Linked DNA regions of Callithrix jacchus. The protein of the gene in region 3 purifies or fractionates together with the protein of the main gene of each other region. This does not show direct contact. Links are inferred from orthologs where the notes say so. Each region holds a gene or a part of one and is shown on either strand. Other genes may lie near its edges. The genes, in order: RELA, MAP3K8, TNIP2, TNFAIP3 and TANK.

Evidence for each region.
Region 1: the proteins of TNIP2 (region 3) and RELA purify together in Homo sapiens (affinity purification with mass spectrometry; 4 studies listed by BioGRID and IntAct, with this or other methods). This does not show direct contact. The link is inferred for Callithrix jacchus from reciprocal best matches to the Homo sapiens genes TNIP2 and RELA.
Region 2: the proteins of TNIP2 (region 3) and MAP3K8 purify together in Homo sapiens (affinity purification with mass spectrometry; 3 studies listed by BioGRID and IntAct, with this or other methods). This does not show direct contact. The link is inferred for Callithrix jacchus from reciprocal best matches to the Homo sapiens genes TNIP2 and MAP3K8.
Region 4: the proteins of TNIP2 (region 3) and TNFAIP3 purify together in Homo sapiens (affinity purification with western blotting; 5 studies listed by BioGRID and IntAct, with this or other methods). This does not show direct contact. The link is inferred for Callithrix jacchus from reciprocal best matches to the Homo sapiens genes TNIP2 and TNFAIP3.
Region 5: the proteins of TNIP2 (region 3) and TANK purify together in Homo sapiens (affinity purification with mass spectrometry; 3 studies listed by BioGRID and IntAct, with this or other methods). This does not show direct contact. The link is inferred for Callithrix jacchus from reciprocal best matches to the Homo sapiens genes TNIP2 and TANK.

The regions. Positions count from the first base shown.
Region 1 is NC_133511.1:122,752,136-122,756,277, forward strand, and holds the start of RELA (transcription factor p65), read right to left. Parts: upstream 2,806-4,142; 5' UTR 2,720-2,805; coding exon of another isoform or gene 2,713-2,719; 5' UTR 2,618-2,712; coding exon 2,581-2,617; intron 2,105-2,580; coding exon 2,078-2,104; intron 1,988-2,077; coding exon 1,836-1,987; intron 1,736-1,835; coding exon 1,587-1,735; intron 56-1,586; coding exon 1-55. UniProt on the Homo sapiens protein: NF-kappa-B is a pleiotropic transcription factor present in almost all cell types and is the endpoint of a series of signal transduction events that are initiated by a vast array of stimuli related to many biological processes such as inflammation, immunity, differentiation, cell growth, tumorigenesis and apoptosis.
Region 2 is NC_133508.1:30,400,019-30,402,703, forward strand, and holds the end of MAP3K8 (mitogen-activated protein kinase kinase kinase 8), read left to right. Parts: intron 1-1,051; coding exon 1,052-1,182; 3' UTR 1,183-2,167; downstream 2,168-2,685.
Region 3 is NC_133504.1:190,410,904-190,414,421, forward strand, and holds part of TNIP2 (TNFAIP3-interacting protein 2), read left to right. Parts: exon of another isoform or gene 1-2,729; coding exon 2,730-3,020; intron 3,021-3,518. UniProt on the Homo sapiens protein: Inhibits NF-kappa-B activation by blocking the interaction of RIPK1 with its downstream effector NEMO/IKBKG.
Region 4 is NC_133505.1:144,648,658-144,652,175, reverse strand, and holds part of TNFAIP3 (tumor necrosis factor alpha-induced protein 3), read right to left. Parts: intron 2,781-3,518; exon of another isoform or gene 2,708-2,780; intron 2,605-2,707; coding exon 2,295-2,604; intron 1-2,294. UniProt on the Homo sapiens protein: Ubiquitin-editing enzyme that contains both ubiquitin ligase and deubiquitinase activities.
Region 5 is NC_133507.1:68,599,152-68,602,669, forward strand, and holds part of TANK (TRAF family member-associated NF-kappa-B activator), read right to left. Parts: intron 2,359-3,518; coding exon 2,225-2,358; intron 1-2,224.

The DNA.
Region 1 (4,142 bases), on a different chromosome or scaffold from region 3:
GATAGCCTGCTCCAGATCTCGCTTCTTCACACACTGGATTCCCAGGTTCTGGAAACTGAACACCCCCACTCACCTGTCTCTTGCAGAGCTGGGACCTTCCTGCCTTGCCCAGCCTGCTCCTTCCTCCCCTGCCCACCCGCAGATCATCGCTCCATACCTAACCCCCTCCAGTGGCTTCCCACTATGCTGCAACGAACCCTGTCCCTCCCCTCCGCTGACAAGCACCTCTGCGCCCCCGCCCCTGCCAGCCTCCCTTTGGGCCATCTGCTTACCACCATAGGGGCTTCCTTTCCCTTCTCTAACACAAGACACTCATTCCCACTTCAAGGTCTTAGCACTTGTTTGGTCTGCTTGGAATGTTCTTTTTCCTACTTTTCTCCTCCTCCTCACCATTCAAGCAGTAGCAGAGGGAGGCCTTCCCTGACCTCCCAATCTAGTCATTACACTAGCTCCCCTCACTCCCCGACCCCAGGTTATCCTTTCATCCTATGACCTTGTTTTATTTTCAGCACTGAAAGTATTACTCTGACAGTACCTTGTTTACTTATCTGTGTATTTATTCATATTTTATTTGTTTATGTATTTTTAGACAGAGTCTCACTCTGTTGCCCAGGCTGGAGTGCAATGGCTCAATCTTGGCTCACTGCAACCTCCGCCTCCCAGGTTCAAGCCAATCTCCTGCCTCAGTTTCCCAAGTAGCTGGGATTACAGGTGTGCACCACCACACCCGGCTAAGTTTTTGTATTTAGTAGAGCCAGGGTTTCACCATGTTGGTCAGGCTGGTCTCGAACTCCTGATCTCAGATGATCCGCCAACCTCAACCTCGCAAAGTGCTGGGATTACAGGCATGAGCCACTGTGCCAGGCTATTTACTTGGGTGTCACTCTGTCACTCAGACTTCAATGCTGTGACATGATCACAGCTTGCTGCAGCAAGGACCTCCTTGGCTCAGGTGGTCCTCCCACCTCAGCCTCCCACCTCAGGTAGTCCTCCCACCTCAGCCGGTCCTCCCACCTCAGCCTCCCACCTCAGGTGGTCCTCCCACCTCAGCCTCCCAAGTAGCTGGGACTATAGGAACATGACACTATACCTGGCTAATTTATTTTTTTGTAGAGATAAGGTCTCATTATGTTGCCTTAGCTAGTCTTGAACTCCTACGCTCAAGAGATCTTCCTGCCTTCATCTCCCAAAGTGCTAGGATTATAGGCATGAGCCACTACGCCTGGCCTGTATATTTTTTTTATAGTCTGTCTCTGTCAACTGTAATGTCAACTCCGGGGAGAGTACTGGTTCAATGGTTTTCTTTCTCAAACAAGAGACATGACTCTGACGGACTACCCCTTCCAGCTACAGGGTCAGGGATTCAGAAGTGATTAGGGACCCATCCCTATCCCCTAGAGCTCCTATCTGCTAGAGTAGAGGTATAAATGATAATTTTAAAACAAAGGGAGTTTACTTGCAGAACTATGTCAGAGCAAGGAGTGAGAAATTGTCCTGTGTCCAGAAAGGAGTAACACTGTAGCGTCTACCTCACAGCCCGCATCCTGTCCCCTCAGGCTGGGCCTCCTAGACTGCAGGGAGCTCACCTGTGGATGCAGCGGTCCGGGCAGAGCTCAGCCTCGTAGAAGCCATCCCGGCAGTCTTTTCCTACAAGCTCATGGGGGTGAGGCCGGTGAGGAGGGTCCTTGGTGACCAGGGAGATGCGTACTGTCCCTGGCCCTGTGTAGCCATTGATCTGTCCAAAGTACAGAGAAGCCCAGACATCCAAACCTGACTCCCAAACAGAGGGCTGGGGCTCGCAGTCCCTACCCCGCACTCCCCGGCTCAATGCTGACCTTGATGGTGGGGTGCGTCTTGGTGGTATCTGTGCTCCTCTCGCCAGGGATGCTGCCCGCGGAGCGTCCCTCGCACTTGTAGCGGAAGCGCATGCCCCGCTGCTTGGGCTGCTCAATGATCTCCACATAGGGGCCAGAGGCCTGGGCTGGCTCTGCCAGGGGACACCGCAGACCCATTAGGTGGCTGCCCCCGCTGCCCTACCCCAGGGAGCACCTCCCCGACCACCGCGGGGGCCACTTACCTGCCGGGAAGATGAGGGGGAACAACTCTGAAAGGGGAGAGAGATCAGGGTCAGCACACACCCACTGCCCATCCTCACCGGGGGAATCTGCTCCCCACGAAGAGAAGCCAGGCTCCCTCCCAGGGGAACGGAGTCAGGACCCGTTCCCTAGAACAGGCGGTGAAACTAAAGGGTGGGGAGAAGGAGCCAGAAACACCTGCTTCTTGAGAGAAAACGGGGTAAGGAATCCTTCCTCTCCCGAGGGCAACTGAATTAGTTTTCCTTTCATAAGGAAAACTGGGGGAGGGCACGCCCCACCTCCGTCCAGAGAGGAAACTGAATCAGATGCGTTCTTCCCTAACAAGGAAACGAAGCCAGAGCTGCCCCCATAGACAGTGGGGGGGAAACTGAGTCAAGGCTCCCTCCGCTGTCCCACCCAGGGAGGATACTGAGTTAAGGCCCTCCCCTCCACCCAGAGGGGAAACTGAGTCAGATCCCTCCCCGCTTGCCCCGCCCCGCGCCACCATCCAGCAGGCAGGCCGCTCCCTGCGCAGCGCCCATCAGCGCAAGAAGGGGCGGAAAGCGGCGCGGGGGCTCCCGCCACAGCCCCGGCGGCCCCGGCGCGGCCACCCCGCGGGGTCAGAGGGCGACCTCACCGTCCATGGCCGGGGTCCCGGGGGCGGGGCCGGGGTCGCAGCTGGGCCCGCGGCGGGCGCTACAGCCTAGCCATTCGCCAGAAGCGGAAATGCGCCGCGCGCGCCCGCCGTCGCGTCACTGCCAGGAATCCGGCCGCGCCTGCGTGCTGCACCGCGGCGGCCCGGCGCAGGGGCCGAGAGCAAGTGCGCGCCGCGCGGAGGACGAAGAGGCCGCGCGCACAGCCGCCGCAGGGGGCCGGGGCCAAGTGCGCGCCTCGCGGGGGACGAAGAGGCTGGCGCGGCAGGCTGCTGGGCTAGTTTCCGAGTCCCGGCCCCACCTGGAGGGCGTGTCCGTCGATTACTCACTTTATTTTTAGGGGATTTCGGGGCCCCTTCCCGCGATCGGTGGAGTTGGTGATGTCACTCTGGGCCGGGTCTAGAGCTAAGCCAGGGCTGCTGGGCTGCGGCCACCCGTCCCGCGCAGGGAAAGGCCAAGCCTGGCCTTCTGCGCCCGCAAAGGCCAGGTGGTTGAAGTCTACGCGGGTTTCCTGATCGCTAAAGGCGCCTTTCGGTGGTGACTGTCTCAGAAGCACGTTAAAATGTCCTAGCCACCCCAATCTAGATGCGGCTCTGGGGAAGGGGAGCGGCCGGGCCTCCTCGCCTGACAGTATAGACTAGCTCTGCAGAGCCTGCAGCCCGGATGGGACGACCGAGGCCCTCCCGCCGGCGAGCTGGCCGAGGGCTCGCCCCTCTCACGCTAAAGAGCCAGCTTAAGATGCAGCCGAACTGCATTTTAGACCCTGAGCGACCGTGGGAGCAGGAGGAGCCCGGGGGTAAACCCCGGAGCCTTGTCTCCGCAGCCTGGCGCTTGTCTCAGAAGGTCCGGGACCCCCAGGGGACACTTGAATCAGCAGAGTCACGACGCCCCCGCCCACCCCTGCGTTTGCCCTGGACCTCTAGCTAGGGCTGACCACTAATTCTGTCATGTGACCCCCACAGTGCCGGTATCGCCCCCAAGACCAAACCGCGTACGTGTCGGGGCTGGGGCTGGCGCACCCCCACCCCACACCTCCTCCCCGAAAGAGGATGCTCCACTGCAGGGGGCGGAGTCTTCTCCAGATGGAGAAAGACTTTATTTTTTCTCTGAATTCGTCTTAAATTAGGAAATCATGTGGGAATTGGAAAAGATTGGAAATTCTGACTTGTTTCCCAGGCTCTGAAGAAACAGGAAGAGAAAAGTGAAAATAGAGTTAGCACCCCGCCCACTCATTTCAGTTTCTCCAGTGGCTGGCCCTGATTAGAAAAGTGTTTACTTTTGTTAGGGGGCGGGGGAGGCAGACTTCAGGTGGCAGAATGGATTAATCAAAATCTTTGGTTAATGACATAAAATTATCATTGAATCTTGCATGGATCCTCTTCTTAAAATTCATGTATGTTTATAACTTTTAAAT
Region 2 (2,685 bases), on a different chromosome or scaffold from region 3:
TGTCACCCAGGTTGGAGTGCAGTGGCATGATCTCAGGTCACTGCAACCTCCACCTCGCAGGTTCAAGCGATTCTGTCGCCTCAGCCTCCTGAGTAGCTGGGATTCTAGGTGCTTGCCACCACATCTGGCTAATTTTTGTATTTTTCGTGGAGACTGGGTTTTACCATGTTGGTCAGGCTGATCTTAAATTTCTGACCTCAGGCAATCCACCCACCTCAGCATCCCAAAGTGTTAGGATTACAGGCATGAGCCACCGCACATCAAGTGAGTTAGGGAAACAGCATAGCATTGCCCTGCATGGATAAAATACTGAGTTTGAAGTCAACTTACATTTCCATCTTCCTCTGCTTAAAATCTTGCCAGCCATGAATTTTTTCCACTTAGGAAAGTCAGTATGCATTCCAGGAGCACTGAATATGCAGGGAGAGGGGTTTCCATTTTTATTAAAAATCTGTGGCGTTCTTAATCCATTTAGGTCCAAACCCAGATGTCAAGCCTGGTATACTTGTTTATATTTCTTTGCTGCTTATCTGACTTTTGTGTATTTGAAGAGGACCATCTGACTATTGGAAAAATATGCCAGGATTTCTAACTAATTTCTTGTCTCCATTGACTCCTGTTTGAACTTTGTGGTCTATGTAATGGTTTTTTTTCTTTTCTTTTTTTTTTTGAGATGGAGTCTTGCTCTGTTGCCCGGGCCAGAGTGCAATGGCACTATCTTGGCTCACTGCCACCTCTCCCTCCTGGGTTCAAGAGATTCTCCTGCCTCAGCCTCCTGAGTAGCTGGAATTACAGGCACCTGCGACCACACCTGGCTAATTTTTATATTTTAGTAGAGAAGGTGTTTCACTATGTTGGCCAGGCTGGTCTTGAACTCATGACCTTGTGATCTGCCCACCTTGGCCTCCCAAAGTGTTGGGATTACAGGCATGAGCCATTGTGCCCAGCTGGTTTTATTAGGCCCCAAAGGATTTATTTCTCTGCAGAAGGAAGTTATTTATTATTTGATATGTTTTCTCATAACTTATTTTTTTAATATTTTCCTTTTCAGATTCTTCATGCACGGGAAGCACCGAGGAGTCTGAGATGCTCAAGCGACAGCGCTCTCTCTACATAGACCTTGGCGCTCTGGCCGGCTACTTCAATCTTGTTCGTGGGCCACCAACTCTTGAATATGGCTGAAGGACGACATGTTTCTCTAAATTAAGACAGCATTTATCTCCTGGAGGCTGGTTCTGCCGCCTCCACACAGGGACCCTGTATAGTGAATTGTACCATTTTTGAAGGAGCAGCGTGACCTCCCGTGACCCACGAATGTACCTCCAAGTGGCCCCTGTGTGTTTGACTCGTGAAGCTATCTGGTGTGCACCAGGCCTCAAGGTTCTCATTTCTCAGGTGATGTTATTCCAAGGAAGGAGTTTGCACGTTCACAGAAGAGTCGTGTCTGCTGACTGTTTCATTCGCTGTGCACTTTGCTCAAAATTCTAAACATGCCAGTCACAGGGATAATAGGGTACCTGAAAATTACTATTCTCGTTTCTTATTTAAGTATGGAATCTTCATTTTACTTGGAATAGTTGTGTTGTGTATATTGATGTATATAACTCTTTGAGCCTTTATTGGTAAATTCTAGTATACATTGAATTCATTATAATTTGGGTGACTAGAACAACTTGAATATTGTAGCAATAAGCTGGACTAGTGTCTTAAAAATGGCTAAGATGAATTAGAAGCCATCTGAGGGCAGGCCACTAGTGACAGTTTCTTTTATGTTCCTATGGAAACATTGTGTACTGTACATGCTATGCTTAAGACATTCAAAACACGTTGTTCTGAATGTGGATAAAACTGTGTAAACCACATTATTTTGGTACATCCCAAAGGATGAGAATGTGACCTTTAAGAAAAATGAAAACTTTTGTGAATTATTGATGATGCTCCTTTTGTAATTCTTCTGACTCAATTTTCTTTTAAGCATTTGTACATTAAAATAGCATACTGTGTATGTTTTATATCAAATGCCTTCATGAATCTCTCATATATATTTGTAACATTGTAAAGTATGCAAGTAGTTTTACTTAAAGTATGTTTTTATATTATGCAAATAAAACCCTTTTGTCCAATGTGATTGGTCAAATCAACTGAATAAATTCAGTATTTTGCCTTAGTTATTGTGAAGACTATGATTCTCACCTGGGACTGAGGACAGCCTATAGGAGCTGGGATATAGGTGAGAGGAAAATATGTATCATAAGAAGGCAACAAATACCAGGAGCTTTGCAAATTGTGTTAATACACTCCTTTTCTTTAAAAAAAAAAAAATATATATATATATATTTATATATATATATATATATATATTACCCACGATCTCTTGACCTCGTGATTCTCCCACCTCGGCCTCCCAAAGTGCTGGGATTACAGGCATAAGCCACTGCACCCGGCCAATACACTCCTTTTCTATTGTTCTTGTATGAAGCTATTGTCAACTGGAATGGTTTGCATCCCCGTGCTACATCGAGGTAGAAAAAATAATTGTGGCTGTGCCTGTAATCCCAACACTTTAGGAGGCTGAAGTGGGAAAACTGCTTGAGCCCAGGAATTCGAGACCAGTCTGGCCAACATGGTGAAACCCTGTCTCTACAAAAACCAAAAATTAGCCAGGAGTGGTGGTGCGTGCCTGTA
Region 3 (3,518 bases):
GTACGAGGGTTTGGAGGCAAGAGAGCGCCACGCCCATGGGATACAGGAGCCACGGACACGGAACAGATCGTTTGTTTCTCTTACTGTCTGCATTTGACCACTGCAGGAAGGAGGCTCTGAAATCACATTTTACGTGGGCACCGTGACTCCTGCTGAGGCAGGAGGAGGACTGCTTGAGGTTAGGAGTTCAAGACCAGCCTGGGCAACATAGTGAGGCCCTGTCTCTATTTAAAAAAAACAAATCGGGTCTTTTGCCTGAAGTCCTTTATCCCTGAGAAGGGTCTCAGTGCCACCCAGGCTAGAGCACAGCCTCGGTGTCAAAGAGACACCCTGTCTTTAAAAATCAATCAATAAAAACAAGAAAAATAATCATCAGGGTTCCTGTAGTAATATAGCTTAGTATTTTGTTCTGTTGTCATGAGAGCGTTCTAGGTTCCTGGTCTGTCCCTTCTCACCTCAAGTCCTAGCGACAGAGGCTGGACCCTTCTGCTGCCACTTCTGGAGGAGAGCTTAGGCTCCTCCCTGGCTTTTCTGAAACTGTTTCTTCACGTGTGGGATGGACTAGTTGAGCCTGCTTCACTTCCCTCATAGACTGTTAATTTTGGAAGATTCTTCGGAAATAGAAAAGCACAAATTTAAGGCCAGGTATTAGAATTGTCAGGTCGGATGTGATGGTTCATGCCTGTAATCCCAGTACTTTGGGAGGTTGAGGCAGGCGGATCACTCAGTCCAGGACCGGCCTGGGCAACACGGTGAAACCTTGTCTCTACAAAAAAGACAAAAATTAGTCGGGCACAGTGGCATGCACTCAGAGTCCAGCTACTTAGGGGGCTGAGGCAAGAGGCTCACTTGAGCCTGGGCAGTGGAGGCTGCAGTGAGCCATGATGGCACCACTGCACTCCAGCCTGGGCGACAGGGCAAGACCCTGACTCAAAAAAAGAAACGTCATTCTAAGAACCATTTGAATTCTTTATTATTATTATTATTTGGGACGGGTCTCACTCTGTGGCCCAGGCTGGAGTGCTGTGGTGCAATCTTGGCTCACTGCAACCTCCGCCTCCTGGGATCAAGCGATTCTCCTGCCTCAGCCTACCGAGTAGCTGGGACTACAGGCGTGCGCCACCACGCCCGGCTAATTTTTTTGTGTTTTTAGTAGAAACAGCGTTTCACTGTGTTGGCCAGATGGTCTCAATCTCCTGGCCTCGTGATCTGCCCGCCTTAGCCTCCCAAAGTGTTGGATTACAGATGTAAGCCACTGCATTCCAGCCTTTCAATTCTTTAAGAAGTAATTAGGGTTGGGTGTGTCAATTTCCTAGAGCTGCTGTAAGAAAGTGCCACAGACTGGGGGACTTCAAGCCACAGAAATGTAATCTTTCACAGTTATGTTGGCCAGAAGCCGAAATCCATGGCACTGGCTCTCTGAAGGTGCTGGGGAAGGACCCTTTCTTGCCCCTCTGACGTTCCTGTGGCAGCCGGCAAGCCTTGGTGTTCCCTGGCCTGTATCCACAGGAAATCACTCATATCTTCGTTGTCATATGGCCTTCTTCTCTCTGTGCGTCTGTCCAGATGTGATCTTTTAATGAGGACACCAGTCCCATCCGAGTCTGGTTTGTCTTCAGCTTAGCTAATTACACCTGCAGATACCCTATCTCTAGATAAGGCTCCATTCCCAGATCCTGGGGGTTCCACTGTGGGCATCTTTTTGGAGTACCCACTACAGTAAAGTTTCTACCCTTCCTATCAAAAAAGTGCTTGGAATTGCCACTTTGATAATTTCATGATCACTGGGTATGGTGGCTTGAGCCTGTAGTCCCAGCTATTCAGGAGGCTGAGGTGGGAGGATTGCCTGAGCCCAGGAGTTTAAGACCAGCCTGGGCTATAGCGAGACCCTCATCTCAAAAAAACATTTTGATGTTATGAAATCTAAAATTATGAACTTGCTTGTGAAAATAGAATTTGGCAGGGCATGGTGGCTCATGGCTGTAATCCCAGCACATTGGGAAGCCAAGGCGGGCGGATTGCTTGAGCCCAGGAGTTCGAGACCAGCCTGAGCATCACAGCAAAACCCTGACTCTACAAAATACCAAAGTTAGCCAGGCACGGTGGCACATGGCCTATAGTCCCAGCTGCTCAGGTTAGGATGGAGAATCACTTGAGCCTGGGGAGGTCAGGGCTGCAGTGAGCCACAGTTGTGCTACTGCACTCTAGCCTGGGTGACACTAAGACCCTGCCTTAAAGAAAAGAAAAAGAAAAAGGTCTGGTGTGGTGGCTCACACCTGTAATCCCAACATGTTGGGAGGCTGAGGCAGGCAGATCACCTGAGGTCAGGAGTTCGAGACTAGCCTGGCCAACATGGTGGAACCCCATCTCTGCTAAAAATACAAAAATTAGCCGGGCGTGTTGGCGCACGCCTGCAGTCCCGGCCACTCGGGAGGCTGAGGCAGGAGACCTGCTTGGACTCGGGAGGTGAATGTTGTACTGGTCTCCAGCCTGGGCAACGGGATGAGGCGGTCTCAAAAAAAAAAGACTTTAAGATGAAGTTTTAGAATAGAACGTTGTAGCCAAAAAACTCCAGAGTTAACTGTTAGTTCCAGTGTCTGACTTGTGAATGAGTGTTTGTTGCCTAGTGATAGGGCGTCCATGCCAGGTTTCCTTTTGCTTTCTGAACATTTGCTCTTGACACTGGTTCTTTTAATTCAGTAAACTGTGCTTTTAAATCCTCCACTTAGGAAATTGAGAGGCTGACTGAGCGACTGGAAGAAAAGGAGAGGGAGATGCAGCAGCTGCTGAGCCAGCCACAGCACGAGCGAGAGAAGGAGGTCGTCCTCCTGCGGAGGAGCCTGGCGGAGGGGGAGCAGGCCCGGGCCGCCAGTGACGTTCTGTGCCGCTCCTTGGCCAACGAGACCCATCAGCTGCGGAGGACGCTGACCGCCACCGCCCACATGTGTCAGCATCTGGCCAAGTGTCTGGAAGAGCGACAGCATGCACAGAGGAGCATGGCGGAGAGAAGTCCTGACGAGGTAGGCCGCGGTGCAAGCGAGTTGTGGTGAAGAGCCTGTGCGCTGGAGCCATCGCCCACAGGCTCCTGATCACAGGGGTCGGAGGCGCCCCAGAGCCCTCCTGTGTTCTCAGTAACGAGACTCGGCTGACACGGCAAAACTCGCTCATCCAAGGGTTTCTTTTAAAATAATGGAATGTGCAAGATGGGATAGGAAAGCAGGCAGCCACCTCTGCCCCACAGCAGGCCTGTAGCTGGACCTGCGCCACGGCGGGTGGTGGCACTTGGGTTTCACGTGCCTCAGCTGAGGGTGAGGAGGAAGAGTTGGGGGTGGCAGAGCTGCCCGGGAGTGCAGTCAGCTCCTCCTCATCCGAGGACACTGAAGCACAGCCAGGTATACTGCTGGGGACCAGGAGTGCCTCCAAGTTCCACACCCAAAACTCCCGGAAGGACTGAGTACCCGCCTTCTGCAGGCTCAGCGTGTCTGCGTGGGTCCAGGCACAGCCAGAGCCGCCATCTC
Region 4 (3,518 bases), on a different chromosome or scaffold from region 3:
AGACCAATAAAACCCTCAAATATGTATCCACAGCCAGTATTCCTTCAAGTTACACATTTAGAAAAACTAGCTAAGTAAGTATTCAAACAAATGGACAAAAAAGATCGCCCAAGCCTTGTGCCTTGGCAGACGTGTAGCAATGATTGCATTCTGTTGAAATTTCCCCTTTGCAAAATCTAGAGCAAAGATAAGGCTTTTTTTCTTCTTCTTGTGCTTACTTTCAGTTCTTTATTGAGATGCACCAGTATAAAATTCCCTAAGTAACATCTGGAATTCCCCAGTGCTAAGTTATTTGACTAGCAATTGAGCAACAGCTATTGTACTTTTTGTTCTGGTGTGTAGACATTTAAACTGCGAGGTGCACCCTGGACTTTCCAAGTGGGTGTGGTCAGGGTGAGCTGGAATAGGGCTACTCATTATACAAGTGAAATCGCTGCAGCCAATAGACGCTGGAATTTTTCACATGAAGTTTCAATTTTATGCCACCTACTCCCTTCCTCATTCACCACAGTCTCATATCCTCAAATGCAAACTTGTGAATCACCCCCTCCCCAGATATTGCCTTTGAATAACCCTCCTATCAACGGAAAGATTATTATTATTTTTTTAAAAGGTGCTAATCAAAATCAAAGAAAAAAAAGTCATTTGTATTCCTCCCTCCCGATATCCTTTCTTCCACATTTAGACTCTTAAGGAGTTTTCTAGAAAGTGAAGAAACAAAAGGATTCTGAGTCTAAAAATGATTTCCCAAAAAACGTTACCAAAATGCACCTGGCTTTTGTAGTTTTATTTGTAGTGTGACTCCTTGTTGATTTCAATGACATGTTTGCAAAATAAGTGTTTCCTATTTATAGTCCCTTTTTTTTTCCTAGTGGAAATCGAGCATTTCCTATCTTAAGGAAACAAGGCAAAAAGTCAGTTAATTTTCTTAATAAGGTTTCCCCCTTCCTACCACATTTTTAATTCAGCAGAATCTTTCTTTCCAACTCCCCCAAAGTTTACTCTATCTCTTTTTAGTAACAAAATGGGAGAGGATTAAAACCACAAATTGTCAGGCACATAAACCCCATGATGACTTTACATAATTACCTACCTCTATGTATCACTTAATTTAATGCCAAGAATAATGCAGACAGTAGCTATCCCTAGTTTTCTTTCTACCTATGTTTCTAAGAATCAGTGTTTCATAAATCTAGGCAAGCTGTTGAAGCAATGTACAAGACCCCCCAGAATCAAAATTTAAAAACCCACATCCACCAATCACTCTAAGTTACCCAAGTCAAAAAAAGCCAAAGTTAATGTACCAATTAAGTTAATTAAGTCAGTGTTCTTATCGTAATCATTGTCAACAATGATTTTCTGCTCTTGGACATCTTACTTTTATTAGGATGGTTTGGGACTGTCACAGATTTAAGTATCTGAGATTCCTGGTCTTATGTAGTCTATGAGCATTTAATTGATCTTGTACAGTCCACTTGCTTATTGTAATAATTATCCACATCCATAGAGTAGAATTTTGTGCCTGCATGAAACTGTATGCAACAGACACTCCTGTTGATGCACAGATTCTTATCCAAGGGAAATGATTAAAAAATAAAGCAGTAAAGCTTGGAATAGGAAATAGCTACTCCTGGTAAAGGCCATTGGCAGAACAGCACAGGCAGGAAGGATTTCAGTGACTAGGAACCTCTAAAAATAATGAAGGTGAAGTCTAAAACTCATGCTAAAAATCTCAGCATCGATCTATTTCACACTGCAGGGCATAGGCAGTAGAACCAGGTCAGAGAGGAGGAGGAGACAAAAGAAATTCCTCATGTCTTCAACAGCCATTCACTGGTTAACCCATAAAATGCTACCAATTCGAGAGGCATAAGAACATCACACGCATTTTCTAATGACAGTGGGAAACAAACGTACTACCAGTTTTCACACCATGCTTTTCTTTTGAACTTAAGGCTATTAACATTTCCATTACGAGCCAGTGAAGGGTATTTTACAGATGATTAAACATTTGCAAGCATTAGAAACAAATCACCTAATTGGAGTATTAAAAACGCATTCTCCAAGCCTCAATGTGCTCTGCAATATACACAATCAGAAAATATCCTTAATAAATAGATTCACAAAACAAGTCAGCTCTTATCACATGTCCCGTATAGAGTTTCTACACTAAAGTGTCTACTAAATCTCAAGAGATTTGAGTTTGGGCTTGTGCTATTAAAGCTCCATGAATGGGGACCCAGCAAGCAGAAGCTATCACCCAGGCAAAAGAAGCACAACAGAGCAAGTCTTACCATTCGTTTTCAGCGCTACAAGCTTCCTGACTTCCCGACACCAGTTGAGTTTCTTCTGGCTTTCCAGGGAAGCCTGGATGTTTCTGTCGATGAGGGCTTTGTGGATGATCTCCCGAAATTGAGGACAAAACTGGCAAGTTCTGAACATTTCCAGTGTGTATCGGTGCATGGTTTTAAAATGATGAATGATCCCATTCGTAGGTTTAAAAATATCTTCTGGAGTTCTCTCCCGTATCTTCACAGCTTTCCGCATGTTGCTCAAATACAAAGCCTGAGGAAGGACTTGTTCGGCCATTGTGCTCTCCAGCACCTGAAAAGGAAAGAAAAAAAAACAGCCATTCCATTAGCCTGACTTTGATATGACTCCTATATACCTGTCTGCAGGAAACCCCAGTGTTTGATCTTGTCATTACCCTGATCTGTAGGCAAAAGATCTTAGCACCTCTACTCCCGGGATACTAGCTGGCCCAGAGATTAACTCACACTGGGCTGTTTTAAGTTACATCACTTTAAAAGATTAGTCTAAATAAGGGACGGAAGGCAGAGAGTGGGTACTGAGGAGGAGGGGAATAACCTGTGTTTTCAGTAACGTTTGTCAGGGAGCCAACCCTGTCTGTCAGCAACAGGTACTGCTCCTCAAAATCAACTGAAGCTCCTGTTTCATTCTGAGACCACGCTGAACAGCGCTGGATTTGGGGAGTACCGGATGCCAGTTAAGGGCTCAATGTAGCCCCGACAAGTCTATAGCTCCTTCCCTTCAGACCACCACCAAGCAATCCTGCCCTTGGGCAAACTCTTGAGTAATCACTCCCTCCCTATGCTGGTAAACTATTTTATGAAAAATCTTGCAATTTTATGCTGTCATTTAGGCTCCTGGTTGGTGTTTCCTCTTTAGCCCCAAAGAGAAGTATTTCAGTGTTTATTCATAAAGTTTATTCTGATGTTTATAAAGAGTTAAAGCGGAATGTTTTCTAATCAACAACAAAAAAACCACTTCCAGCAAGATGCACTGCAATTTTAAGAGCAGTCAACATTCCTTCAGAACCTTCCCACCAGACTTCATATCAGAATAAGAAACAGACTAATAATAGGCTGGGCACGGTGGCTCATGCCTATAACCTGGCACTTTGGGAGGTCGAGGTGGGAGGATCACTTGGGCTCAGGAGTTTGAGAATAGACTGGGCAACATATTGAGACCTAGGTCTCTACAAAAACAAAAAATGA
Region 5 (3,518 bases), on a different chromosome or scaffold from region 3:
TAATTTGGATACTTACTGACTGACAATAAACTTTTGTAAATGACAGATTATTCAAATTTAAAATAAACAAAACTATTAATGTATCTTAGAGCTTTCCACATCATCCCTGTTGTTCTAACCAAGGTTTTATTTTAAAAACTACCTTCTACATACTTTAAACTGGAGATATTCTATTACTTTCAAATTAATGTTATAAATGGAATAGGAATTTGGATTATTAAAATTATGGTAAATAATGGCATTTGGAAGACACTGAAACAGGAAGATTATACATATTGTTTACTTAAGCACTAAATTTATGTCAGCATTTATAGTAATTCAACAATTTTATAATGGAATCATTGTTTCTCAATTTCCCCTTTTGCAAAATAAACCTAATTTATTTCAATGCCATGGTTTCTTGTATTTATCAGCATTTTTAGATAAATGAAAATTTGAATGGGGGTGAAGAAAACTGAATGACTTCAAGAATGGTTTCAAATAAAAATATATGTACTAAGGGGCACCAGGAGAACTTATTAGTCTAAAATTTTTATTTACAGAAAAAGCTCTCAAAATTGGATTTCTCAAATTTGATGTTAAATAATAAGATAGTCTTTGTTATACAATCAGTAACTAAATAACCCTGACAAAGCTAAAATTTCCTACTTTATTTAGAAGGAAAGAAATAACTATAGCACTCTTGACTTAATTGGTCTTGTTGATATTAAGAAACCTTATTTGCCAGCTATTTTATTTAAAATATGTATCATCTCACCAAAAGCCAACACATCTCATTAAAAATATCCTTTTCAAACTTACAAAATTTCAATGACTTGTGAAAACAAGAGAACAATATATGTGAAAACGGAGAACAATATAAGATACATATATATACTATCAAGTTTATAAGGTTTACTATTTTGCATACTTGCTTAACTCTCTTCTATTAAAAAAAAAAAGTTACAGATATAACTGAAGCCCCCATTAGTACTTTCTCAGATAGCCCAGTCTCTTTTCTCGCCAGTTCTAGAAGTGATCGTTTTTCTAAAGAAGATGTGTAACCTTCCTGTCCAGGTTTATATACCTTTATTACATATTTGTGTTTTCACAAACATTAATGTTATGTTTTAAAAACTACACAAAGTATTCTAATTAGCCAGGCTGCACCTGTAGAATTACTTGAACCTGGGAGGTGGAGGTTGCAGTGAGCCGAGATTGCACCACTGCACGCCAGCCTGGGCAACAGAATGAGACTTTGTCTCCAAAAAAACAAAAACAGAACAAACAACAACAACAACGAGCGACATAAAGTATTTCCATTTTATCATTCTGTAATTTCCATCTTTACTCCACATTGCTACTGAAATTTAGGCAAATTTATATTTAGTATATTTTAATTTTTCTAAAGAGTTTCTAAAGATGGACTATTCTGTTATTGGCGGATACTTAGGTTGTTTCTAACCCATGTAGCATGAATGTCCTTGTATATGTCTCTTTGCAGATATGTAGTATTTCTTTCTATATTACTTCAAGAGAGTTTTGCTTAAGCTAGTTGAATAGATATTTCTTTGTCTAAACTAAGCACAATTAAAGAAAAAACTAGAAAGCTATTTTCTAATTGGTGTCTTACTATTTACCCAATTTTAATCTTCCATTTCATTGTATATTTACACACACACACGTATATATGCATGCATTTTTTGTTTTTGAGACAGGATCTCACTCTGTTGCCCAACCTGGAATACAGTGTCATGATCAAGGCTCACTGCAGCAGCATTGACCTCCTAGGGCCAAGCAATCCTCCCACCTAAGCCTCCTGAGTAGCTGGGACTTATAGGCATGTGCCATCCTGCCTAGCAAATTGTTTTATTTCTTGTAGAGACAGTGGTCCCCTGTGTTTTCCAGGCTGGCCTCAAACTTTTGAGCTCAAGTGATCCTCCCTCCTTGGCTTCCCAAAGTGTTTGAATTACAGGAATGAATCACTGGGCCCAGTCCTATTTGTTAATTATTTTCTTTGTTGAAATGCTTGTGATATAGAAAAAAGGTCAATAGAAAATATAAAACCTTAGCCTTTATTTTTACTTGGAAATAGTTCTTCTATTTAGAAACATTTAAGTCACATATTTGTATACATGGAATTTCTATTCAGAATTCCAGTGGTAGCTCACTTCAGAAAAATAAATGAGGAAGCTATGTTACGCATCAGCATTTGGATGCTGCTTTCTGCAGAAGCAATGTCTACCTTTGGTAGTTTTTCTCTTGCTATTCCTGAAATCACTTTATCATGTGGCTGATCAAGAGTCAAATTATTCTTCCTTGTTTCATAGTCTTCAAGCAGAGGAATACAGCCATAACTCTTATCTGTAAGACAAAAACCTTGTGGACATTAGTAGAAAAGCCTTATTTTTGGTACTACCTGAAAAAAAGCAAAAATAACACAAACTCAAAACCATAAAGATAATACATTTTTTTTTTTTTTGAGACAGAGTCTCACTCTGTCACCAGGCTGGAGTGCAGTGGTGTGATCTCAGCTCACTGCAACCTCCGCCTCCCGTGTTCAAGCAATTCTCCTGCCTCAGCTTCCCGAGTAGCTGGGACTACAGGCATGTGTCACCACCCCCAGCTAATTTTTGTATTTATTAAAGACAAGGTTTCATCATGTTGGCCAGGATGGTCTCGATCTCTTGACCTTGTCATCTGCCCGCCTCAGCCCCCCAAAGTGCTGAGATTACAGATGTGAGCCACTGCGCCCAGCAACGGAATAGATTTTAAGGTAGGAATTTTAGAATAGTTACTTTGACAAGTTGTCCATTTATATTTTTTCTTTCCCACTAAACACACAAAACCCCTACTCTCCGAAAGCCAGTAGTATGTAAAATATACAAAATTTAGAAAACTAGAAATATGCTCTCTGCATCTGTCAGCAACAATTCAACTTTTTTATGTCATATTTTCAGGTACGCATTTCTTATTTAAGATAATTATTTGTATTATGACTCCATGCTTGTTATAGAAAAATTAGAAAATGCAGACATGCCAAAAAGAATAAAAAGTAAATGCTACCCAAATTTTTATCAGCTGTGAATTATTCCTGTTAACATTTTGATTTATATATTGTATCAGATTTCTTCTTTTCCTAAACATATAAATTCACACAAGAACATTTTTCTGCATAAATGAAAATAACACTTATTTATGTATCCTGCTTTGTTCATTTTGCTATATATTGTGAATATATTCTTACAAGTTAATACCTATTATCATCACTTTTCTTGGCTACATAGCTATTCATATAGATCACTGTAACTTAACTATTGAAAATTTGTTTCTAGCTTTCCATGATTAAAAATTATACTGTGATACACATCCCTGTCTATATAGTTTCGAGCCTTTAACAAATCTTTTCTTATGATATAGTCTTAGGACTTGAGTTTTTGGTTCAAGAGGCACAGATGTTTGCAAAAGCTTTTGCTATTTACTGGCAAATTGCTTTTTAGGAAGTTTTATAAACTTAGAGTTCTACCATATAGTATAGT